3 linked regions of the Saccharomyces cerevisiae S288C genome follow. The protein of the gene in region 3 purifies or fractionates together with the protein of the main gene of each other region. This does not show direct contact. Each region holds a gene or a part of one and is shown on either strand. Other genes may lie near its edges.

What was found.
Region 1: the proteins of MRD1 (region 3) and UTP9 purify together in Saccharomyces cerevisiae (affinity purification with mass spectrometry; 2 studies listed by BioGRID). This does not show direct contact.
Region 2: the proteins of MRD1 (region 3) and NOP9 purify together in Saccharomyces cerevisiae (affinity purification with mass spectrometry; 3 studies listed by BioGRID). This does not show direct contact.

The regions. Positions count from the first base shown.
Region 1 is NC_001140.6:490,001-494,158, forward strand, and holds UTP9 (Utp9p), read left to right. Parts: upstream 1-1,930; coding exon 1,931-3,658; downstream 3,659-4,158. Other genes in the region: MDM31 (Mdm31p), read left to right, coding at 1-396; NVJ1 (Nvj1p), read left to right, coding at 747-1,712; RIX1 (Rix1p), read left to right, coding at 3,896-4,158. UniProt on the Saccharomyces cerevisiae protein: Involved in nucleolar processing of pre-18S ribosomal RNA. Required for optimal pre-ribosomal RNA transcription by RNA polymerase I together with a subset of U3 proteins required for transcription (t-UTPs).
Region 2 is NC_001142.9:414,110-425,406, forward strand, and holds NOP9 (RNA-binding RNA processing protein NOP9), read right to left. Parts: upstream 5,454-11,297; coding exon 3,453-5,453; downstream 1-3,452. Other genes in the region: DNA-directed RNA polymerase III subunit RPC17, read right to left, coding at 176-661; chaperonin-containing T-complex subunit CCT8, read right to left, coding at 5,848-7,554; YJL007C (uncharacterized protein), read right to left, coding at 8,589-8,903; CTK2 (Ctk2p), read right to left, coding at 9,029-10,000; CYR1 (adenylate cyclase), read left to right, coding at 11,048-11,297. UniProt on the Saccharomyces cerevisiae protein: RNA-binding nucleolar protein required for pre-rRNA processing. Component of the 90S pre-ribosome involved in production of 18S rRNA and assembly of small ribosomal subunit. Component of the pre-40S ribosome required for release from the nucleolus.
Region 3 is NC_001148.4:741,883-753,640, forward strand, and holds MRD1 (RNA-binding ribosome biosynthesis protein MRD1), read right to left. Parts: upstream 10,038-11,758; coding exon 7,374-10,037; downstream 1-7,373. Other genes in the region: cleavage polyadenylation factor RNA-binding subunit YTH1, read right to left, coding at 1-182; proteasome regulatory particle lid subunit RPN7, read left to right, coding at 572-1,861; GLD1 (Gld1p), read left to right, coding at 2,807-3,691; DNA-directed RNA polymerase core subunit RPC40, read right to left, coding at 3,946-4,953; serine/threonine-protein kinase DBF20, read left to right, coding at 5,424-7,118; PIS1 (CDP-diacylglycerol--inositol 3-phosphatidyltransferase), read left to right, coding at 10,375-11,037; ALE2 (Ale2p), read left to right, coding at 11,419-11,758. UniProt on the Saccharomyces cerevisiae protein: Involved in pre-rRNA processing. Required for maintaining steady-state levels of 40S ribosomal subunit. Required for the initial processing of pre-rRNA at the A0 to A2 sites, leading to the processing of the 23S pre-rRNA intermediate to the 18S rRNA.

The sequences.
Region 1 (4,158 bases), on a different chromosome or scaffold from region 3:
TTCTCCCCGGCCGTTGATGAAATTGACCCGAACGACTACTTTATTATGGACTTTTCTTTAAGACTATACAATGTCAAAGCCGAAGTCCCTCTGTTCACTTCTGGCTTAACGTATATCAATAGTGCATTGATAAGGCCTATTGTCGGGTACATCAATTCTCACAGGACATACATCCCAATCAAATGCCGCATTGTAAAGAAAAAGTCTGATTTTGAGGGCTCCTGGACCATATATGATTCATACCTTATGCGGGATCTAAGTGCGGAAGCGTACGATGCCTTCGCCGACTACGTCGCTGACGATGAAAAGAGGACATTACGCTTGAGAAGGGTGGGCTTTTGGTCACTGCAACTTATACTCCAGGTGATTTTGATGAGTCTCGGTGCTATCGCGTGAGGAATACCTACTCCTGTCACTTTCTGTACATATGCATTTACATAGCATCGTTCTTTCTATCAGTTTATCTAATTTGTGACGCATCTTTCTTCTTTCTACACTGCGGAAAATCCTATTTGAAAAAAAATAGACGAAAAATATCAGGACCCACCCCCTTATGAAGGAGAGAAGGGGAAGAGGAGCTGCAAAACAAAAAGGTGAGGCTTCTTCTGTCCAGATTTTTGTGAGTGAGAGAGTGTGTGGGAAGAGAAGGAATTAAACCAAACAAAAATTGGAACCAACAACTGTTGCGTTTGCGTGTGTGCATAATATCAAAAAAGCTACAAATATAATTGTAAAATATAATAAGCATGACTCGTCCCCCATTGGTTCGTGGAATCTTTTCGTTAGGTCTTTCTGTAGCCGTTTTGAAAGGTGTTGAAAAAACAGTTCGTAAGCATTTGGAAAGACAGGGATGGATAGAGCCCCAGAAAGTGGACTATGAGTTAATTTTCACTATAGATAGGTTGAAAAACTTGGTAGATAATAAGCGTGAGGCTTTAACTGCGGAACAACCCGACGCTGGTGAACTGAGCTGGCGTAAAGTATTTAATTTCATTTCCAGACAATCCAGCGAATTGGACACACGAATATACGTTCTTATACTACTCCTATCCTTTCTACTACCTATCGCGTGGACTGTACTGGACGGTGATCGCGAGACCACGCTAGAAGATAAGGATAACGATTGTAATGTAGATCTTATTGAAAACGAAAGGAGGCTGAAGCATTACAACGATGGTGAAAGAGCAGTATTGCAATTTGGTAAAAATAGATCCGAACCTATTATATTAAGCTATAAGGACATGAACGTTTTGGAAGGGGAACATGAGTTTACCTCCAAAGAGGAACACAGTAACAGCCATTTGACAAGCAAGAGCGAAAATGCACTAAACCAAGTAGGGAGTGAAGATTTGTTAGGTTGTCACCTGGAAAAGCAATTGGAAGAAGACAAAAATGAACCGAATGGAGAAGCAGACGGTGAGGATGATAATAACCGGGAAAAGGATTGCAGCTCCAGTTCAGAAGTTGAGTCGCAGAGTAAATGCCGAAAGGAAAGTACTGCAGAGCCTGACTCTCTCTCACGGGATACCAGAACAACCTCTTCCCTTAAATCAAGTACATCATTCCCCATATCATTCAAGGGCTCGATAGACCTTAAGTCGTTAAACCAGCCTTCATCATTGTTGCATATACAAGTATCTCCCACAAAATCTAGTAATCTAGATGCACAAGTGAACACTGAACAAGCATACTCTCAACCATTTAGATACTAATGTACTATATTTCCGTCATCTCGGTTATCATCGTCACTTACAACGAGGTGCGAAAATTTTTTTCTTCTAAAGGTGAGAAGAAAACATGAAAAATTTTGAAAAATTTAACGATGAGATGGAGTTTTCAAGTAACTTTATGTAGTTGAAATACATATTAGTACTCCGTTGCAATATATAACGCCGGGCATTCTCCACGTATATACATACCGTAGTGCACAATGGGCTCCTCTTTGGATTTGGTGGCGAGCTTCTCGCATGATTCCACTCGTTTTGCATTCCAAGCAAGCGTCGCACAAAAGAACAATGTGGATATTTATCCATTAAATGAAACTAAGGATTATGTGGTCAATAGTTCATTAGTGAGTCATATTGACTATGAGACAAACGATATGAAGGTTTCAGATGTAATCTTCTTTGGGTGGTGTAGTGATTTGATAGATACGCAGTCATCCAATATCAAAAGAAAATTAGATGAAGATGAAGGAACTGGTGAATCAAGTGAGCAAAGATGTGAAAACTTTTTCGTTAACGGATTTCCTGACGGAAGAATTGTTGTTTACTCTTCTAATGGTAAGGATATAGTTAATATCATCAAGAATAAAAAAGAGATTTTGGGAGCAGACACAGACGAGTCTGATATATGGATTTTGGATAGTGATAAAGTCGTTAAGAAATTACAGTATAACAATTCGAAACCTCTAAAGACTTTTACGCTAGTTGATGGTAAAGATGACGAAATAGTTCATTTCCAAATTTTGCACCAAAATGGCACTTTATTGGTATGCATTATTACTAAACAGATGGTTTATATTGTTGATCCATCAAAGAGAAGACCCTCTACTAAGTATAGTTTTGAAATATCAGACGCTGTAGCATGTGAATTTTCTTCAGACGGTAAGTATCTGTTAATTGCCAACAACGAAGAATTAATAGCTTACGACTTGAAGGAAGATTCAAAGCTGATCCAATCATGGCCTGTCCAAGTGAAGACATTGAAAACTTTAGATGATTTGATAATGGCTTTGACTACTGATGGTAAAATTAATAATTATAAGATTGGCGAAGCCGACAAAGTTTGTTCTATAGTTGTAAATGAAGATTTGGAAATTATAGATTTCACGCCAATAAACAGCAAGCAACAGGTTCTAATTTCATGGCTAAATGTCAATGAACCCAACTTTGAATCTATTTCTTTAAAAGAAATTGAAACTCAGGGGTATATTACAATAAACAAAAATGAAAAAAATAATGCTGATGAAGCGGACCAAAAGAAATTAGAAGAGAAAGAAGAAGAAGCTCAGCCTGAAGTTCAACATGAGAAGAAGGAGACTGAAACTAAGATAAACAAGAAAGTTAGTAAATCAGATCAAGTTGAAATTGCTAATATTCTCTCATCGCATTTAGAAGCTAATTCAACAGAAATATTGGATGATCTGATGTCTGGAAGTTGGACAGAACCAGAGATTAAAAAATTCATCTTAACCAAGATCAATACAGTAGATCATCTAAGTAAGATATTTTTGACTATATCAAAGTCAATAACACAAAATCCATGGAATGAAGAAAATTTACTTCCGTTGTGGCTTAAGTGGTTGCTGACTTTGAAAAGTGGGGAGTTAAATTCTATAAAGGATAAACATACAAAGAAAAATTGCAAGCATTTAAAATCTGCATTAAGATCTTCAGAGGAGATCTTGCCTGTTCTACTCGGTATACAAGGTAGATTAGAAATGTTGAGGAGGCAAGCAAAATTGAGAGAGGATCTTGCACAACTATCTATGCAAGAGGGTGAAGATGATGAAATAGAAGTTATAGAGCATTCAAATGTAATTAGTAATCCTTTGCAGGATCAAGCATCGCCTGTTGAAAAGCTTGAACCAGATTCAATTGTTTATGCAAATGGAGAAAGTGACGAATTTGTCGACGCATCGGAATACAAAGATTGATCAAGCATTTTAAATATATTTAAGTATATACAAAGAAAAGTTTCACATGAGAAGCACTGATTGATGCAGCTATTAATTTTCAAAAGATTACGTTGTCTTCATCATTTGAGACGGGTCATCGCAAGAAAATTTTTCAATATTAAACTATAATAAAATGTAGTAAAAAATAGATGCAATACTACTATTCAATTTTTGTGGTTTTCCAGTTATCAAACTAAGTATAGACAAAATTTGAGCATGTCAGAGGAATTTATCGCAGTTTCTACTTTGGCTAGAAACCTGGAAATTGCCAAGGGTAATGAGTTTCATACCATTTTGGCGACTTTAAGATCACCAGTTTATATCAATGAACAGCTGCTAAAATCCGAATTGAGCTTCCTTGTTACAAAAATCCTAAAACTTATCAGATCAGGCAATGACTTTGATCTTTGGAAAGGATGTCACACCTCTGTTGTGACTTGCGCCTATAATCCACTGGTCTTATCGACTCATGGAGGTCA
Region 2 (11,297 bases), on a different chromosome or scaffold from region 3:
TAACCCAAAGTGTGCGCAATAAACTCTAAAAAATAAAGTATATTCTTGTAAATATTTCTATATGCTTAAGTTCAATAATACATGCATACTCATTGAACATGTTATATTGTTACACAACAAAGTAATTTCTGTTTTTCGGAAGTGCCAGTCCAAATCAATTCAAAGCACTGTACACTCATGCGTAGCCAGAGATGATCTCTAGCATTTCCTCAATTGTTTTTTCGTCAAATCTTGCATCACACTCCTCCACTATGGAGTAAAGGTGGACCATATTGGCAGGAAGTTGATTGACAATCTGCAGTTTTTCAGCCTTGAATAATTTAAAAGAATTCAGTTTAGTCATCAACTCAGCAAAGCTTTCATCGCTCATTTTGCTTATACCCGATTTTTCAGCATCTTTTGCACCACTGCTTTCTCGTTCCTCGCCTTCATCTTCCTGGTTGATAAAGTTTTTGTTTATACTGAGATAGTTAACCACATTGCGAGTAATACCTTGCAATTCAGGATGATTGTAGGGCCTATTCTGCTTACCTTTCGAGCGACTTTTCTTCAGCGCAGCCAAACTTTTTTGGTCCCAAAGATGTTTTTTTTCTAGATCTGTTAGGAACTTCAAGACTTCATAGTCACTTAAAAATGCATTCCTTTCCTCAAGAACTTTCATAACGTTTAAAGTTTTTTGTTTAAGTGTCGATTTTTTCAGTGGTGGGTGTTGGATTCACTCAACTTCTCTTCTACTGTGGCTGTTATTTGCTTAACTTTCATAGATCGATGGCATTGAAAAAAATAATTTTTCAGGCAATTTTCCTTTTTTTACTTGGTATAATTTTCAGGAATTGAAGGATTTTTCAACGAATTAGCCTTGTTGGCGCAATCGGTAGCGCGTATGACTCTTAATCATAAGGTTAGGGGTTCGAGCCCCCTACAGGGCTAATATTTTTTTCTTGCCCACTTATTCAAGGAATAAGTGCTAATTATCTTTCAACCTTGCAGCGAAGCTTTCTTTTGTATTTCATCTCATAGAAGGTGAAATATCACACTATTTTGTAAATAGAAATAGTATATGTAGTTCGTGGAGAACCAGACTGCAGACTATCAATAAAAGGTTACATTCTGTTCAACTCATGTGACCAGAAGTTTGATTAAGCAAAATTGTTCTTCTCCTTAACATATGATATTATCTGAAGGAATCTAGAAAAGCTTGATCATTCCGCAGAATAACCTATCAAAATGATTGGGAGGACCATTTTATAATTCATGCTACATATATAACATTATACAGTAAACCCTTTTAATGTAATGGATTGCTCATAGTTGTGTACACGAACTGTTTGCTAATAAGCTTGTTTTAGCTTCTATTGCTAAAGAAATTACTGACGAAGAGTTTATGACAAGGAAAGATGAACGAAAGTACAATTTACCGGTTAGTGTCAGCGCCAAAGGATCCACGCACTAGCAAAATAATGAAAATTGTGCCGGATATTCAAGACTAAGAGATGTACAAGTTGAAATATAAGTAACCCTCGGCATAAACTACTCTGTCGTAAGATCATTAACATGTCGATTTGCCTGTGACATTTAACGATTCACAAATAGCGGAATTAAATGATACTTTATCTATCCTAAAACGCACGAAGCATACTTTAGAATGCATGCTCTTAGTAAGTATGCATTGCCGACTTCTCTGTAAGACTTTTATCTCGTTTCAGACCTAATCTGCAACAAGAGAAAGGGAAGAGGACGGTATTGTTACGACGTTATTGGCGGCTAGGAAAGAGAGAATCACCATGAACGATATGGTGCAAAAAAAATAAAAAAATAAATTGAAACGGACAGGAATTGAACCTGCAACCCTTCGATTGCAATCTTATTCCGTGGAATTTCCAAGATTTAATTGGAGTCGAAAGCTCTACCATTGAGCCACCGCTTCAACTTTTGTTGAAAATTTAGGCTAACATTTTCTAATAGGTGACATTACAAAATCCAGTCTTACAGTTATGCTTAATATTGACCAGTAGTCATATTACTGGCATATTATCTGTTAGAATAGTGACATACTATTCTTTATTACTGATGAATTTGTAATTGTGAAGCAATTAGACGCAAACGTCATTGATGTGTCAGGATGGAGAACGATATAGACTATGTGATAATGTAAAGTTAAATATCTGTTACTTGAACAATTAACTTGACGTTTGTATATGTAAGGATATGGGTCATTACATAGAAACTATAGTAAATAGTCTCAGTATTGTTATATTTGTCATGTTTGATATGACTAATCGGCGCATGTTTTACACCTCTTTTGTATAGTATAAGAAGATCTGCTTTTATTCTTGAACCCTACCACTATCTCGCCAAGTTTTTAAAAGATCCACTGCGATCATTGAAGATTCTATTTCAAATAAAAATCAACTATTACCTATCATCTAGCATTCATATTACTTGTATATTATCATATCTGTAAGAAGATGACATGAATGATGAGAAATAGTCATCAGACTTAATAAAAGCCGAAATTCAAGGTCGATAATGTAATAGGATAGGGTGTTGAATGACAATGTATAAAAGGAACGAAGACAGAGTAATACTATTATGTAAGAAATACCGATTCCCTTGTGAGTATATAAACATAACCATTTCATTAAAATAATTTATTCAATGGTATGTATGATATTATAATAACATACTTATACTTGTCTCACTCTGTTCATAAACGCAACAATACAATTACTTTTGAATATTATCTTTAATAAATACACTTAGTAGTTACCAATAAATAATAAAATCCTTTACTAATACTAATATAAGGATTTCTATGTTCTCGAGGAGAACTCGTAGTATGTTCTGTATCCCTAATATTGTAGCCCTTAACAACAATGGAATACGAACAATTTTCTTAATATTCGGCTATTTCTGAAATATACATATTCACGGGATACTAGGAGGTCAGCATGTTACAAATTTCATGATAGTGCATCAAGAGACCCTAAAATTAATATCCTTTATGTGCGTATTGCTTTCATGGTAGTAAATTATCACTGTTTTCATCTAGACGTGGGACGGTAACATTTTCGATAAATATCAAAAGATGGCAGTCATTGTATAGAATACCACAATTTGTGAGCATCTCTGAGGTTTTTTACAAGCTTCCGTAACTCATACAGACTTCTATCGTCCTACTCTAGTATTATTTACCTATTCATAACCACTTTTTTATCCTTCTATTTAAATTTATAGATGCAAAGGGCGGAAAGAATTGACTGGAAAGTAAACTAAATATAAAAAATATCGCCAACTTATTCATACAATATCGTAGCAACTGACAACTTTTAAAAATCTGCAAAATTCTTTGTAGTGTTCCTTAATAATGTTTAAGCTAAGGTTTTTTATTAAGAGGAAAATATTGCATAATTCTATAATTTACATCAGTACAGTAGTAACATATTATCCAATTATCTATAGTGCTTTTGCTTTTTGAAGGCGCTTCCTTCCTTCGAATTATTTCTTTCTCTTGAGTGCTTTTCTGGCTTTGGCTGTAGCGGTTTAGAATTTGGAAATATTTCAAATTCTTGCTCCTTAATTAGTTTTTTCCAATCCCACATTTTTCTAACATATAATTCCAGTTTCCAATTCTTCCACACTTGCCTGCCATAAATACTATTCTTCACCTTCTCAGTTTCTAAAACTAATGCTCTAGCAATACGCTCCTTATATAATGTTAATTTTGCCGTAAATTCCCACAATTTGTCCATTATATGAGAGCCATATACATTGCATGCCAAATTTACAGACTCTTTAGACAGTATGTTCAATAGCATTTTTCTCTTAATTATGTCCACCCTAGTAGTTTGTAGTACGTGCTCAACAACATGCGAAAATACTCCATGGTAACACATTTGTATCAACCTTTCCTCAGGCAGAGCCAACATGCTGTCAATGGTAATATTCAAAAACTTGTCGTCGTAGTCAATTAATTGTTCCAAGAAAACTGATCGTCTTCTTTCTTCTGCTGTTGGCCAGTCATCTCTGGTATTGCCCAAAGTCGATGCACTCAACAACAGGCAACTTTCCAAAATATTCTTTGCATCAGACTTTTCTGGATAATATTTTTGTATTAATTGAGCAATGACATCATCCCTTAAGTAACCACCTTGTTTATTGCTTGCGTTGATAATAGCAGTACCAAAATCCATATTTGAGTTTAAAAGCATGCTTAATTCAGGAACTACTGCATCCAATATCTGTTTTACGTCCTTCTCCTTCAAATGTTCCAGCAATGCACGCACTACAAAGGCACCTGTAGTATCCCTTTTTGCTAGTTTCACAATACGGTCTTTCATATATAAACGATAAAGTCTTTCAACATATTTTAGCCTGGCAGAGCCAATCACATTTTCTAAGAAATGAGAACCGACAGGATCTGACAGTAAATATTCCAGGAATGATTCCTCCTTAGGATCCTTCTCATCTGCTGTATTGAAGACCAATCTCCAAAATGAACGGTCCCTGTCAAAAATACCTTCGACTTGAATAATGAGCTGAATTACAGGGGAAGCCACTTTATCCACACTGTACTCTCTAAATTTGGTGATAGTAGATTGCGAAATATCAGAACGCGACTCGGCACCATTAGTAAATCCTTTGTATAAAGTAGTTATTATGTCACGAAGTTCAGATTTGAAAGATTCCGGTGTTTGGTAAACTTTATTGAAATCGTCATTATCTTTAATGTCAATCATTTTTCTTGCAATTTTTGACTTTTTGGAACGTAAAGTAGAGTTCGCTTTAGTTGAATTAGGCAATGTCTTGGAAGACAAAATTAATATTAGCAATCTCAAAACATGTGATGCATACTGATGGTTCATCATAGTTTTCAAGTGCGGTTTCAGTTCATTCAACATAAAGAGAAACATATTTTCCATAGTCACATAAGGCCCTTCTTTTTCATTGTTATCAAAACTTGGTGTTAAAAGTTCTCTTTCTACCAAGGCGGCACTTCTAACAAATAAAGTCTCTAAAACATGGGAAGCATATTTATGACATGACAACCCGAAGAAAACGCCATTGAAAGATTGGAAAATGTCTTTTAACTGAGTCTCATCACATTCAAGAATAACTCGTTCCATCAATTTCGAAGTTATTTGGGAAGTAACCAATTTCAGTTCTTTACCTTTTGCTTCCTCAATAATGCTCGTGACGAATTGAAACTTTTCCTCAGGTGCTTCGAAGGCGTCTAATTGCAAAGTCGATTCGGCTTGCTTGAAATACTCCAGTTCTTCTCTATCTAGCACACCAAAAAACATTTGTGGCTGAGTCTCTTTAATTTCGGCTTCGTCATTGTAAGTAGACTCTTCTTGCTGGATGTGCTCCTTCGCAGAATTTGAACTGGGTTCAAATTCGTCCTTTCTCTGTTTGTCTTGGTGTCTTCTGCCTCTTGTTTTAGTCTTTCCCATAATAACAATAATGTGGTTTTTCCGTGAAGGTTTCAGCGTCGTTCACAGTATACTAGTTGTAACAGATCGCAGCTCATCTAATATAATTTTCTTCATTATATTGTAGATGAGCATGAAAATTCTCGCTAACCGAAAAAAAATTGAAAAAAAAAAAAGTATTACAATCATCGAACAAATATACAGGCCAAGAGTTCGTCGGTTTTGCAGGTTGCTTCTTGGTTAATGTATACAGTACATCTGCATTATCAAAAATTCAAACATTATATATATCTTTACTACTATACAGGTACACATGATACAGCCTAGCAAGTTTGAAAACTTGATTGCAATTTATGACATTATATTCTGCTGTTTGCAGGTATATCTACTTTGTAAGTATAAAGATGCAAACAAATCAGTCTTCTTGGTCCCAGTTACCTGGCCTTGGGCCTTGAGGTGCTCTTGGACCACCCGCCTTCTTTGCCATGATAATTTGGTCAATGGAAAGCACAGTAGTTGCAGCTTCTGTAGCGACGTTAATAGCAAACTTTTTCGTTGCAAGCATGTCATAAATATTTTCCTCTCTGATGTCCTTTACACCTTCATCAGATTCGCCATCAATATCCACACCTTTATATAAATGATCTGTCTTAACTGCACCAGGTTCAGTTACGTTATGTGCAGCGTATAAGTTTGGTAGTACCTCATTAACATCAAGACCAGCGGTCTCCGCTAGGGTACGAGGAACCACTTCAAAAGCCACGGCAAACTGTTTTATAGCTAACTGTAGCAATCCAGGTGTTCGTTCACCATACTTAGTTATCCTAGAAATCAATTCAATTTCGGTAGCACCAGCACCAGGCAACAACTTACCGCCTGATGGCTTCATTAGTCCCTTGACGGCTGCAACACCATCATCAATGGCTCTTTCAATATCATCCAAATTATTCTGTGTGGCACCTCTTAAAATGATAGTAGATGTTCTTGAAATTTCACCTTGCTCTTGTTTGAACACAGTTACTCTATCACCACCTATCTCCATTGTCTTAACAGTTTCCACTAAACCTAATTCTTCTGGAGTTGGCGCACCTAATCTAGGCAATGGAGTGGCCCCACAAACGCGACATAATCTTCTTAATTCGAATTTGCTTGGTACCTTCAAGACTAGTATACCGTATCTATTCAAATAATGTAACGCCAATTCACCAACACCAGCACCTGCAACAATGCATTCTACGCCCATGTCGGCAATCTCTTTCATCATGGCATCTATTTGCTTTTCCTCGCCCTTAGAAAAATCGAGCATTTCTTGTGCATTATGTAATAAAACAGTGCCTTTCGTTTCAGTATTGGCTATGTCAAGCGGACAAGTGAAAACTGCAACTTTATGCTTTTTATCTTCGGATAATGATTTTACATGGCCTTCAGGCTCACGATTGAAAACCATACCTTTGATGACGGTAGAATTGGAAAGCGATCCACCCATAATCTTTACTACTCTGATAGAATCAACATTAAAATAAGGAATTTCTCCAGCTTGCTGAGCAACTGGTAAAACGTGAGATACAGCTTCAGAAACAAGTTCACTCAATATGTCTTCAGATCCGTACTTTTTGGAGGAGATGACTGGTTTAATCATTTTCAAAAGTTCGTTTTTATCATTCTTGTCAGTAATTTCACCAACAACCATTTCGTCTAGTTCTTTCAAAGTAAACTTCCTTGCCATATTATAACCTTGAATAATCTCAACGGCAGACAAGCCCATTGAAATCAGTTTTTCGGACACATTTAATAGTTCGCCAGCCAAAATCATGACTAAATTTGTACCGTCTCCCATGTCGATCTTCTGTTGTTCAGTCGCCATTACGAGGACTTTCACTGCAGGATGGACAATATCTAGTTCTCTTAGCATGGTGGCCGCGTCGTTGGTAATAATGATTTTACCGAGATGGTTAACAATGATCTTGTTTCTACCACAGGGTCCCATAGAAGTCAAACACATTTGATGTAATTCGCGAATGGCCGCAATTGATTTAATAATTTGGCCATCGGCGTTAGAGTAACTATTGTAGCCTTGTTTAAACAATCCCGCGTTGGGATTTTGTGGCAATCTAAGTGACATGGTTAATTGATGATTTTATTGCCCTTGAGGTTCAAGTTGTCTTGTCGGTATCTGTAAAGTGAGAACATCATCATGCTATACTATTTTCTTCACTTTTTTTTGCCACTAGCGGAGGTGATGAACATTTTCGAATACCGTTAATAATGACAAAAACACCATTAACTTGGCTTATATAAAATAAGCTATTGAAATAGTAAATGTGCTCGCAACTCTTTAATTATCTAAATCCGGCAGCTTCTTTATTGATTAATAATACAAAATGTTCGGACAAGTGATCATTAGATATCAACATGAATTCAATTGGTAACAATTTCGATGCTTACATTTTATGCTAGTATACACCACGCATATGTCTGTCAATGTACCTATTACAGAAGGAAATGTTCAAGAAGCAGTTCAGACAGTACCGAAGCAGAATTAAAAATCCATTATTTGAATATGATCTGATAGTCATATATATGAGCAATACAGGTCTTCACATTAAATGTATGAGAACTGCCGGAACCACTATTACATTGGTCACAATTAGGAATGAACCAATCGGCGTGTGTTTTATATCCCCCTTATATAAGTCTAAGAAGATCGATATTCAATCTTCATTAATAAAGCTTTTTGACCTCTACCTATGAGCAATAAACCATATCCATCAATAGTGGTCAAGCCGTAAGAATGTTTTTACCGAGAATAGAAGTAAACTTTTCTTATTGTATATAAGAAAAGCATATAAACACGCGCCCAGAGAACATATTCAGTATGCCCTAGCTTGGAAACACATCAGTAAAATACTACGCGCCTAGTATAATGACTTCTATATCCAAAATTTTTAAGTTAACCTTTCAAGTAAAAGATCTTTGCCTTATACTACTGTCTGAACAACTCGTATAAATTAATGTATGATATGAACATTCCCATTGTTACGATAGATGTCCTAATGAGGATCAACTATAATCTATCGAATAGTATTCATATTACTAATATATTATCATGTACGATGTACCAAGATGGCATGAAGATTGAGAAAACAGTCATCAGATTTAATAGATGCTGAAATGCCAGGACTGATAGTGTAACAGAATAATGAATGATATCATATAAATTGGGGAAACAATAATGACAATATTATGTGAAAATATCAATTCTCTTTTGTGGATTACAAGATCCCCTGGAGAACTTCTAGTATGTCCTGTATACCCGGTGCTATATCCTTTAATAACCATGGAATCCGCAAATATTTGATGTAAAGTTTGTTTTTCTTCCCCAACATCCTTTGTATGCTTCAGTAGCTCAGTAGGAAGAGCGTCAGTCTCATAATCTGAAGGTCGAGAGTTCGAACCTCCCCTGGAGCACATTTTCTTTTTTTGTGAATTAAACCTCGAAGCTCAACATTCATGTTTTGAGATAAAAAAAGGTACTTATTACTTGTGTAAAAGAAAGTTTATAATGATGATCTTATTTAAGTTTATAGTAGGACTTTCTATGCATGTCTTGTAGAACTATTTATGCTGGACTCGCCATTAATTAGCTCCAGTGAAAGTACATATCTTCTTTCTTGGACATTATTATCTCTAGTAATAGTGATATAAGGATCGGCATTCAACAGGTGATCTGGTATTTGCGGCAATCCAGATTCTGGTCCTGCGTTTTTTTTCAGTTCCATAAACCTTTCAACGCCAATCGGCAGCAAATCAGCCGGTAAATGACGTTGTAGATCGCACATATCGAATGAATTGATGTAAAAATTGACTATATCAAAATAAGCTTCATTTACGGATTTCTCGTCTGTTTCAAATAAAGAATACCTTTTACTTGACCAATTCTTATTATCTAGTAATTCATATGCTATTTTCAAAATGGCCAATGCAATGGAATGTTGGGGTATGACTAAAATAGTTTCTAGCTTCAAAGCATCATAAGCAATTACCCAAGCCAGATTGCACAACTTATAATCAAAGGATAGCTCCCTACCAATTTTTATAACATATTCATCAATATGAACGTAATTGTTGACTCTATAATCGAATGAGCATGACTCTAATATCCGAAGTTCTATTTGAAATACCCTTTTTTTAAAATTTTCCAAAATGTCCGTATTGATTTTAACCACATTCCTCAATCGTAATGACAAAGTACATATATCATTTGTTTTTTTAATTGTCTCAACTTCTTTACAGCCCAAAGTCAGGCAGCTTGTCGCTACAGTGTAGCAAACCTCGGTCTCGAAGCGATTAAAGAGGTGGTATCTTTGGTAAAAGTATACTGCTGTTTCTAAAGTCTTCCGTGGAAATTTCAGCTGAACACACAAGTCACTTAGAAATTTGAACACGGCAAGTTTTTTCTGGTTGTAATTTCGATAGTCCGATATTGTATTCTTTTGGGCTCTTTGAATTTGCCTTTTAGACAGAAACGGTCTCGAAAAAAAAAGCTGGGATTCAAACGTGCTAGGCATATCAAAGTACGTAATTTTCTTAGTTTTGCTGGCTCTATATCTCCTCTCGCTCTATAGATACAGATATATATATATATATATATATATCTATGTGTATAAAGACGGCTTTCAGGACAGTACTTGTTTGGATTTTTGATCATCGCGGATTTTCGCAATGCAAGTATAAAGAGAGCATTACCCGCCACACAGTGATTCTTCAGCAAGTTGTACCGAAAAGGACCATTTAGGTACGTGGGATCGCAAAGGTTCCCAAACGGTGTGCATCAAGCCGTAGACTTCATGAGTGCTTTCGGTGCAGCAAAAAGATAAGGACAAAAAATACTGAAGGATGCGAGGTTCGAACTCGCGCGGACAACCGTCCAACAGATCTTAAGTCTGCCGCCTTAGACCACTCGGCCAACCCTCCATCTTATTTAAAAATCCTAGGAAATAGATGTTATATAAGTCATACATCATTGAAAACATCAAATACCGTTCCCTGCGTTGTTCTACAGAAAAGCGCATTAGAGTAGGTCATACCCTTTAAAAAATGATTTTGTAAATGCCAGAAAGTAAACAAATATGCATTTCGCCTAGCTCCCAATGTAAATAGCCATAAAAAAGGATAAAATGCCAGATTTAGAGTCAGTTCTCGTTCTTCTTCTTCTCTGTGTTCAATTGTTCAATTGCATTGTTAATCACTGAAATTCTATGTTTCAAATTGGAATGGCAGACTGAACTGAGACCTTCCTTACTTTCTCCTCTATCAAACCTAAATATTCAATCATAACCTTATTTTTTCACTTCCTTTTTCTTACTTTTTTTTTTTTTTTTTTTTTGTATTTTGGAAGGAAAGCAGGGGGGACTTACCATAAGAAAAGCGACTCTAAAAAAGTGTATTTTCTTCCAAAGTTCAGTAAAGACAGCTGGGAAGTATAGTAACAGAGGAGAGAAAGCATAAGGAGACCTCTTGCTGCAGTTCACAACCAAAAATAGCATATCTTTACTATTGTCGCTAACCATTGCGAAACGAGCTAAAGCAACAGCAAACGAAATCCCTAGGTCGAAATGTCATCAAAACCTGATACTGGTTCGGAAATTTCTGGCCCTCAGCGACAGGAAGAACAAGAACAACAGATAGAGCAGAGCTCACCTACGGAAGCAAACGATAGAAGCATTCATGATGAGGTACCAAAAGTCAAGAAGCGTCACGAACAAAATAGTGGTCACAAATCAAGAAGGAATAGCGCATATAGTTATTACAGCCCACGGTCGCTTTCTATGACCAAAAGCAGGGAGAGTATCACTCCAAATGGTA
Region 3 (11,758 bases):
AATATTGGTAACACATGCTTTTTTGGACATAACGGTCCCCTCGGACATGATTTAGGGCCTTCTCTAGAATTGTAAAATTCACAAATAGGTCTGTCAGGATCGAGTGAAAACGAATACTCTTGCCTGAGGAAAGGTTCAAATTTAAAAGGATATTTTGCTGTATCGGGGTGAATTAGGCTCATTACATAAACTTATTGATTTTATTCGTCCTAGAATACTTGTTTAAGATACAGTGCAGAAATCTTTAGCTTATAATTCAGAAATGTGATATTTTGAAGCGATTGGAACAACAAAGTACAGTGCATTCTATATAATTATTAAAAGTTATAGTGGACTATTGTAATAACACTTGTTTTCCCCATATCATAACCGACGGCGCGTAAATGCATGCTCAATCAAGTTTCCGAATAAGTTAAGTTTGCCACCCATTGAGGATTAATATACACAAGGCAGCATTGAAAAACCTAATTGTTAACACTACACAAATCTCTATTGTTGTAGTAAACTGCGCTTTTTACCACTGTTACAATAGTTACTAATACACGCAAAAATTCTGGATAAACACGGCAAAATGGTAGACGTGGAAGAGAAAAGTCAAGAAGTTGAATATGTTGATCCAACGGTGAATAGGGTGCCCAATTATGAGGTATCTGAAAAGGCGTTTCTTTTGACACAATCAAAGGTTAGTATTGAACAGCGTAAGGAAGCGGCAGAGTTCGTTTTAGCCAAAATTAAAGAGGAAGAAATGGCCCCTTATTATAAATATCTTTGCGAGGAATACCTTGTTAATAATGGCCAATCTGACTTGGAACACGATGAAAAGTCAGATTCTTTAAACGAATGGATCAAATTTGACCAGGAGCTATACAATGAATTGTGCAAAAAAAATGAAAGTAAGATTAAAGAGTTAAATGAAAAGATCCAAAAATTGGAAGAAGATGATGAAGGTGAACTAGAACAAGCTCAAGCCTGGATTAATCTGGGTGAATATTATGCACAAATCGGTGACAAAGATAATGCTGAAAAGACGCTAGGGAAATCATTATCGAAGGCTATTTCCACAGGCGCCAAAATTGATGTTATGCTAACAATTGCAAGGCTGGGGTTCTTTTATAACGACCAACTTTATGTTAAGGAGAAGTTGGAAGCAGTCAATTCTATGATTGAAAAAGGTGGTGACTGGGAGAGAAGAAATAGATATAAAACATACTATGGTATCCACTGCTTGGCCGTAAGAAACTTTAAGGAAGCGGCAAAGTTATTGGTCGATTCTCTAGCAACTTTCACCTCTATTGAATTAACTTCCTATGAAAGCATTGCCACATATGCATCGGTCACAGGTTTATTCACTCTGGAAAGAACAGACCTAAAATCCAAAGTCATCGATTCACCTGAATTGTTATCTTTAATCTCAACAACTGCCGCACTACAATCTATCTCGTCGTTAACAATTTCCCTTTACGCGTCCGATTATGCCAGTTACTTTCCATATCTTTTGGAAACATATGCAAATGTTTTGATTCCATGTAAATATTTGAATAGACATGCAGATTTCTTTGTTAGAGAAATGAGAAGAAAAGTCTACGCACAATTGTTGGAATCATATAAGACTTTGTCGCTGAAATCTATGGCAAGCGCATTTGGTGTTTCGGTTGCGTTCTTGGATAACGACCTGGGTAAGTTTATTCCAAATAAGCAACTAAATTGTGTCATTGATAGAGTTAATGGGATCGTAGAGACCAACAGGCCAGACAACAAAAATGCTCAATACCATCTGCTAGTTAAGCAAGGTGACGGTTTGCTAACAAAATTACAAAAATACGGTGCAGCAGTGAGATTGACAGGGTCAGATCGTGTTTGAGGAATTTACATTATTTAGCAACGCACATAATCACATCAACATGTATACATAGTTTGGAGACTTGAGTAAATAGTAGTGAGAGGATATATGGATCGGTTCAAGTCAAAGGATTGTAATCATCCTCTTTCTCCTTTAAAACGGAGAGCTTCTATAGTTTTCAAGCTTCCATTAAAAATTTCAGTATTTAGTTCGGAAAGTTACATAATTGCAATGTCTCATAAAGGACCATGCTTCTTTTGAAAGTGAGGAATCTAAGGCTGAAAATGCCAATTCTTAAAAAGTAGTATAACCAGAAAAAGGAATCCCCATAAAAGGAAATTCATGATACGGTCATTGTTTCTTCATTTGTTTAATACGTTGTATTCGAGTGTTCTAGCCAATAAACGATTCAACTAAAACACTTCTGGTTCGCTTTTAGGGATATCGTTGAAATGAAATCACTCCATGATAGTTTAAGTGTTACAGACATTAAGAGAAGTCGGCTGCAAATTTCCATGCAGACACTTTGTCCCTTCTTGGAGGATACCCTACAGTGTAAAAGCCTCCTTAGCTTAGTGGTAGAGCGTTGCACTTGTAATGCAAAGGTCGTTAGTTCAATTCTGACAGGTGGCAAAATTTTTTCCCTAAAGTTAACACTTATTTAGCTTCTTTTTATATAAAAAATCCATGAGAATTGATTCTGCATTTTAGTTTAAATTTTTTCTTTAAGACTATGATGCTTTCATGCACAAGGTTATATTGTTCTCCTTCTCTATAGTTATTGCAAGGAAATCATATATAACGAAACACAATTTGATCCTTTTGAACCTACATTATCCCGCACTCTTGACGTATCATCAAATAAAGCTAAACTGCGGAAGCCTAAAAATACTAAGCACGCTATTTGTCATCCATTAGCAGGCCAAAAGCAAACTAATCTATGTTTTCAATAAGGCCAATATAATAATGGATAATTTTGAAAGTACTGCTGAAGGAAATTTAAGTATAGGAAACAAACGAGTATACGAACTACGAAAAAGAAACTTCCAAAGAAATTTGGTGAATAATTTGAGCTTTCTCGGGTATGTTTTAATATCATTGGAATATATCAAGTATGATCGTACCGTCTGGACACTTATAACAAGAGCAATAGTGCAATCTCTCATAAGTTCTCCTTTTCCAAGTGATGCCAAGTTACGTAGGCTAGCGACCCTCGGTGCAGATAATAACACGACGGGGGTTGCAACACTTCCAGGCGGAAGATCTATCAGGTTTCCCGGAATGTTTGGAACAGAAATGCTTTATAATTCTTCTAGTGAAGCTGAGCAACAAGACCATGATGATACCGCTATTGTGTCCATGAAAAAGCAAATCCGGAAGTTTTTATTTCATGGTTGCTTATCGTTGAATATGCTTTTCATTATCTTAACAATCCTATTCCCAATTGATTTTTTTGAACCCCTGAGTGGTAGCGAGCCAGTAGACGATGGCCCTAAGAATACTCCCTCACCCTTTTCCAATTCAGATGGTCTACTTTTGGGTGAGAGAAGAGGTGGGCTTTTTCTACAGATGATCGGAGAACGGCTACCAAAGAGCAACTTTTCCGGCAATCTTGGATTAGTAATGTTCGAATTTAGCATACTTATTGTACAGTTTACTTTATTTTCACTAACATGTGTTGTATTGGCAGATTTAGATTTTGAAGAGCCAGAAAGACTAGAACCTGTAAATAGTGATGGCTACGATGGCTCTGTAATAGTTGCACGAATACCATTAAATAAAACCATGAATGCCATTTTAAATGACGGCAATATTAATGACAACAATGAGAATGCTAGCAATTCTGTCTAATAGTATATATATGTAGTCCATAAGGGGTAATGCATATTACTGTTATCGGCACTATTTTATAGAGAGTTACATTTACATATATCATTCTATTACATTTCCTTATCTATGACGATTCATGGGTTTGTATTTTTTTGGTAGGATTTGCCAATTCTACTAATACTAGAAGAAAAGATTATACAAAGATAAAGACCCTGAGGTTAAGTATTTAATATTTTTCTCAAACTGTGTTTTTTTTATTAGTATGCAAAGTAGGATCATTGGGTAATTGGACAGTTTTTCAAATACTCAGCCTTATTCTTTAAAATCCTGACGGATTTGAAAAAAATTTCTTCTGGTGTCATGGCACCAGCGCTTTCTACGTTGAAAATAAAGTGGTTCCTCACTCTTCCTAATTTAACTTTATCAGCAAACTCTTCGTATCTTAAAACCTCCCTGGAAACCGTATCCTTCCTAGCATCTTTGACATACGCTTCATCTGAACCTTCATCAATACCAATAACACCTGGGGGAAAACATTTTTGAAATCTTCTGGCACTTTCACCTTTGATTGGCTGTAAGATATTGATTTGAGGTAATAATCTATAAGAAGCGGTGGAAACTGGTGAAAATTTAGCATGATCACCACCGATACCTAAAATGCAATGTGCCTTCAACGAAATTTCTTGACCAGGCCTTAGCTTAGCTAATAAAATATCAGGATCAGCTGGAACAACCGGACAATCAGCAAAAGTGGTAGATTGTCTGCCCTGTGGTTCAAACTTCAAATCACGGGCGTAGACATGGGCATTGTTATATAGTTCCTTTGGATCAGTAGATCCCTTTGGAGCATCTGGATTTCTTGTGCACTTCACGTTCAAACTCAAAACGATAGTATTTTCATCCGTAAACTTTTCATCGTCCGGCAAATTACTATCAACCCATGTGAGCATATCAGGGTCAACTTTTAATGGAACCAAGCCTATTCTATGAGCCAAAACCTCATCTTGGATAACGGATGTATTGTTAAAAAAATAGACGTATTCAGCAGCCACGGATGGAACCTCGGAAATCATTATACGACGAAAGGCATTCGCAATCGATGTGTCAATGTTTATCAAGTCGAAATTTGCCTCTCTTGCGTCTAATGACGAAATATTGACTTCGAAGTCCTTTTTGAATTTTTCCACATTCCACTCGTTTTCTGCATCCTTCGAGAAACCAGGAAAATCCGTGGAGGTTGTATTCGTTACACGGTTATATTCAATACCCACAATATTTGACATATCTTCTTTCACCTACTTACTTTCATGCACTTGATACCTGCTCTTCTACATAATATGAGTGAAATTTTTTCTTTCAACTCATCGCAATAATTTTTTCACAAAATTTTTGTGAATCCAAGTCACTATAAACGGAATTAATAAATATTTGCAACATAAAGCACAATGTATTGTAGCAGAAGACAAACGACAAGTATGGGATAATGCAACATCTCTTTCTAATTAATATAAAATCAAGAATAAGCATGTCTTCTGACTAATTTTTATATACAAACACCAAGATCATAAATTTTTGTCTTTGAATGGATAATTAACCCATACACCTCATACAAGATTTTGAGAGTAAACACAAATCAATGGACCTGTAGTCGGCTAGATCACAGATCATGATGAACTGTATTGTCGCAACAAACTTGTAACTCCAATAGTGATTAGCAACCCAGAATATCGTATTCAACAATAATTCGGTAGTCATGTTTTCACGAAGTGATCGAGAGGTAGATGATTTGGCTGGTAATATGAGTCATTTAGGGTTCTATGATTTGAATATTCCTAAACCTACTTCTCCACAGGCGCAATATAGGCCTGCTAGAAAGAGCGAAAATGGAAGATTAACTCCCGGACTTCCAAGATCATATAAGCCGTGTGATTCAGATGATCAAGATACCTTCAAAAATCGCATTTCATTGAATCACTCACCGAAGAAGCTACCCAAGGATTTTCACGAGCGTGCTTCCCAAAGTAAAACCCAGAGAGTTGTTAATGTATGCCAACTTTACTTTCTCGACTATTACTGTGACATGTTTGATTATGTTATTAGCAGAAGACAACGTACGAAGCAGGTGCTAAGATATCTTGAACAGCAAAGAAGTGTCAAAAACGTTTCTAATAAGGTTTTAAATGAAGAATGGGCTTTGTATTTGCAAAGAGAACACGAAGTACTGAGAAAAAGGAGGTTGAAACCTAAGCACAAGGATTTTCAGATACTGACACAAGTTGGACAGGGTGGTTATGGGCAAGTTTATCTTGCAAAAAAAAAAGACAGTGATGAAATTTGTGCTTTGAAAATATTAAACAAGAAACTTTTATTCAAACTAAACGAGACGAATCACGTCCTTACTGAGAGGGACATACTAACCACAACTAGATCTGACTGGCTTGTGAAGTTGCTTTATGCATTTCAGGATCCAGAGAGCCTATATTTAGCAATGGAATTTGTACCTGGTGGTGATTTTCGCACATTGTTAATAAATACAAGGATATTGAAGAGCGGTCACGCAAGGTTCTATATCAGCGAAATGTTTTGTGCCGTGAACGCGTTGCATGAACTTGGTTACACTCACCGGGATTTAAAGCCGGAGAATTTCTTGATTGATGCTACAGGGCATATCAAGCTGACCGATTTTGGTCTAGCAGCAGGGACCGTATCAAATGAAAGAATCGAAAGCATGAAAATACGCTTAGAAGAAGTAAAGAATTTGGAATTTCCTGCTTTCACAGAAAGGTCTATCGAGGATAGAAGGAAAATATATCATAACATGAGGAAGACAGAAATTAATTACGCTAACTCTATGGTCGGTTCGCCTGATTATATGGCCCTAGAAGTTCTGGAAGGTAAAAAATACGATTTTACAGTGGATTATTGGTCATTAGGCTGTATGCTTTTTGAAAGTTTGGTTGGATATACACCTTTTAGTGGTTCTTCTACTAATGAAACTTACGAGAATTTAAGATATTGGAAAAAAACTTTAAGAAGGCCCCGTACTGAGGATAGAAGAGCAGCATTCTCAGATAGAACCTGGGATTTAATTACAAGACTAATAGCTGACCCCATCAACAGAGTACGATCTTTTGAGCAAGTTCGCAAAATGTCTTATTTCGCAGAGATCAATTTTGAAACCCTAAGAACAAGTTCTCCACCATTTATTCCTCAATTAGATGATGAAACGGATGCAGGTTATTTCGATGACTTCACAAATGAAGAAGATATGGCTAAATATGCAGATGTCTTCAAAAGACAGAACAAATTATCTGCAATGGTCGATGACTCTGCCGTTGATTCCAAGCTTGTTGGATTTACTTTTAGGCATAGAGATGGAAAACAAGGTTCAAGCGGGATACTTTACAATGGTTCAGAACATTCAGACCCTTTTTCAACTTTTTATTAAGATTACGTCCCTACAATTTAATTTTGTATAGCATAACAGATACATTGACAACAGCAACAAGATGTGCTAACATTTTCCATTTTGAATGATTACCAAAATTATGAAACCAAGGCAACATGTAATTTTTAAGTTTAGTAATCTTTTTCGGGATGAGATGTTTTGAAGAGTTTTATGCTATTAAAGTAGTAATATGATTTATATATTCAAATAAAATGTAAATTATGAAAGAAAAATACGATAAGCTGATAGGGTAAACTAGAAACCTTCGTTTTCTTCATCATCCACATCCAGTTTCTTTCTACCGCCCCCATTTCTTAAGGCAGCCATCTCATTAGTGGCAACTTGCTTTCTAACCTTCTTTGTCATCCTGGCTATCTCTTCTTCAGCGTCAACTGCATCTTCTTCTGCATATTGCATTACCAATCTGCGGCCCAGTAAATGGACACCGTGCAACTGATCCATAGCATTTTCTGCTTCCTTTGGAAGTAAAAATTCCACGAACGCAAAACCTCTTGCAGACTTGTCGAACTTCTTTGGAACTCTAACAGATTTTAATTGACCAAAAGAATTGAATAATTCGAAAACGTCTTTCCTAGTAGCTTCAAATGGAAGATTCTTAACAATGATTTTACCGCTTTTCTTATTGGATTTAGTCTTTGTATTACCGCTCTGAGATGCTTGTCTATGGGATAACTTCAATTGAATCTTATGGCCGTCGATTACCGTCCCATCCATTGCAGCTATCACGGCATTAGCTTGTTCCTTGGTCCTGAATTCTACAAAACCAAACCCCATTGACAAGGTCTTGCCTTGATGTTTTGGATCAGGTTTTGTCTTCACTTGGGCAACAACAAAACCAGTGAAAACCTTGAACCTATCAGTAAGATTTTGGTTCGTCGTGGAGAAGTTTAGATTCTTTATGAAAATTGAGACAGTTGGACCATCAATAACGTCTTCATCATGAGCATTAGATGACCCTTCAGTTACATCCTTGTTTGCTTCCATTAAGTCATTTGATGAAGGTTTTACCTCTACCGGGTTTTCTTCTTCTTTTGCAGAAGTGTTATTTATCAAATCATCGGCCTCAGCTGGTTTAGTAAAGCAATCCTTAGGCCCCCTTTCTAGATATATTATGCCGTCCTTAAATCTTTTATACGATAGTTTAGTGAAAGCTGCCCTTGCTGACGTTGTGTCCCTGAATTGCACTATAGCTATTGTACCAGCTGGTGGCATGAGCAATCTTTCCAATTTACCATATGGCAAAAACATTTCGCCAAGCTCTTCTCTAGTTGTCCCAAAAGGAAAATTTTTAACCAGTATCACTTTATCGTCTCTTTGATTTGTAGATTTTAACTGTGAAAACTTGGTCAGATCAACACCTTTGGATTCAAAGTATTTTCTAACATCACCAATAACATGGGCTTCAGCCAAAGCTTGTTTGACAGCCGAACTTGAGTTTTCAGCATCGATCAATTGAGATTTTTCTAGACCCAATTTGGCTGCCACACTACCCAAAACAGCATCTTGGTTCATATACAAGGAGTTCCAAGAAAATGTTTGTCTGGATGCAGCTGCCTTCCTTTTCAATTCCTTTTGCTTTTTCAATGGCATATTCTTTAAATCAAACTCATCTAATCTATGGCTTTTTTTTTCTTCACCAGGAAGAATATGCAATAGTCTTCCTTGAAAAATCTGTTTATCCAATTCAACATAGGCGTTCACTGCATTCTTAGAATCCTTAAATAGAACGTATGCAAATCCTTTGGATTGACCAGTCCTGGTATCCAAAGCCACATGAACCTCCTCTAACTCTCCAAATGGACTAAATAGTTTCCTGAAATCTTCTTCTTTGGAGGTATACAAGATATTACGTAAGAATAAACGGCCAGTTTGGTTAATTTTTTCAATAGCCAGTTCTTCGTCCGTCTTTTGCGGCACAGCACGTTCTGGTTGTTCTTCCTTCTTGGTATCGAGACTTTCATTTTGTTCAGTAGCGTATGATGATGATTTTTCCCTTGTTTCCGCTTCACTTTCTTTGATTCTTACACGGCGTTGTTTGAACCAATCTAGGTCAGAAACCTTTTCATCTTGGGCGAGGTTTCTCCTCTTTTCATTCTCTTTTTCATCACTATTAGCGTCATCATTAACTAAACCTATATCAGTATCCTTCAAATTGCTAATACTTATCATCTTTTCTTCCTCTCCGGCATCTTCTTGATCTTCATCCCTGTTTCTGTTGAGAGCCGAATATTCATCGTCACTTTCATTCTCAATGACCAAATTTGGTGCTTCGTCTTTATTATTCTCTTCCTTTAAGGCTAATGCATGAGCCAATAGAGAATTCCCTTGCACGCTGGAGTCCTCTTCTTCCCGTTTTAGTTTTTCGTCCTCTATGCTCTTGTCAATGCCAACTTTTTCCCATGATGTGACTTGTGAGCTTGGCTTCATAGTCTCCATGAACTCTTGTAATTGCTTGTTCTTGCGAATCTCGTCATCAATGTTGCTGTGCTTATTTTCATCCACTTTCTTTTTCTTTCGATTTTCTTCTTGTAGCAATTTTTCTTCCTTTTCCCTAAACCTTTTCAGAGCTTCTCTTCTCTTCTCCTTCATGGGCTGCGGGACTCTTGGGTCTGCAAAGCTTTTAGCCATGGACACTTCTATCTTAGAAGTGTTGATAAAACTGCCATTGAAATACTCTACAGCATCAAAAGCGTCTTCCTCGTTACGGTATCCGATAAATCCAAATCTTCTACTTTCTCCGTTCCTATCTCTAAGAATTTTAACATCTGTTATGAGGTCTGGACCACTACCATTAACTGCTTGATGGGAATGTTTTTGACGTAATCTTTTTGTAAAATGCTCCCTGAGATTATCATCTGTTAGATAGACGGGCAAACCCTTGACAATGATACGGGACATGTTAGTTATGTTATCTTGTGCTTGAGGCTCAAATTAAATCTCAGTTCAGGTTGCAGTCTTTGCATATGAAGTACCGATGAGATGAGATGAGATGAGCTCTAAATTTCCATAAAATTTTTTCATTTTATAAAATTCACGTCGCTCCGCACGTAAATCCCTATTACGGAAATTATTTCTCAATAGGGAAAGCCCCTCCTATTGTTTTTTCCGTCTCGAGGATTTTTCACTTTTAGTATATAAGTAAAACATAAAAAACATGAGAGGTGGTATGGTTTATTTGCCGTCACTGTGGAGCCTTCAAGTAATGTAAATAAGAGGGAAAGTGTGATAGTACAAGATGAGTTCGAATTCAACACCAGAAAAGGTTACTGCAGAACACGTTCTGTGGTATATTCCCAATAAGATCGGTTATGTTCGTGTTATCACCGCCGCCCTTTCTTTTTTCGTTATGAAGAATCATCCTACGGCCTTTACATGGTTGTATAGTACATCATGTCTACTGGATGCGCTAGACGGAACCATGGCAAGAAAGTACAATCAGGTTTCCAGTCTGGGTGCCGTTCTGGACATGGTTACCGACAGATCCAGTACCGCTGGCTTGATGTGTTTCCTTTGTGTGCAGTATCCCCAATGGTGCGTTTTCTTCCAATTAATGCTGGGCTTGGATATTACTAGTCACTACATGCATATGTATGCCAGTTTAAGTGCTGGTAAGACTTCTCATAAAAGTGTGGGCGAGGGTGAGTCCAGATTGTTACACCTGTACTACACGAGAAGAGACGTACTGTTCACTATCTGTGCGTTTAACGAACTATTTTATGCTGGATTGTACTTGCAGTTGTTCTCAAATTCTGCAACCTTTGGTAAATGGACTACAATCATAAGTTTCCCTGGTTACGTGTTCAAGCAGACCGCAAACGTTGTCCAGCTAAAAAGGGCAGCCTTGATTTTAGCAGACAACGATGCCAAGAATGCCAACGAGAAGAACAAGACTTACTGATAGGATGAGTTTCTTACTTTTTTTCTCCTTTTAATTGCGCTAATCTTTTATTTATGTGTAGTTTTTATTTATGTGAAATGGAACATTCGTTGATTTAACTTTAAAAGCAGCCTACTCTATCGTCTTGATTATACTTGGCACAACAAATGCTCAAATAAACGAAAAATTTCATATTGTTGGTACTTTTTCTCAACGCGGTTTTTTTCCTGTTTTTTTCGAGCAGTTCCCGAGGGCATATTTAACATAAGCCAAGGAGAGAGAAAAAACGTTTGTTGGACAGATCAAAAAGAAAAAGAAGAAGACCTCTCCTCTATCTCAAGCTTCTGCCCCCCCCCCCGGAAGGAATTCAAGCACGAAGGTGAACATTGCCTACAAGAAAAAATGGATGTTTTATTGTCGCTTCCTCAACCGGAATTATTTAAGACCACGGTGATTCCGTTCTTGGCAAATCGCAATATAATCAAGTCGGAAGCGATTCTCTCCAACTTGCACTCAATTTTTTATGTTGCTATATTCTACCATATTTGGTTTCTTTTTGGCAAATGGATCTTATTCCCACATTTGGTTAAATGGAAATTGGACTATGACCAAAAACATAACGTCAAGAAAGATGAGAAGACAACTTCGGAACGTCAAGCTCAACATTACAAAAAGAAGTACACTTCTTTGATCAATCAAAGTTCAGTCCACTTAATATCCCTACTGCAAAGCATAGTGGTCC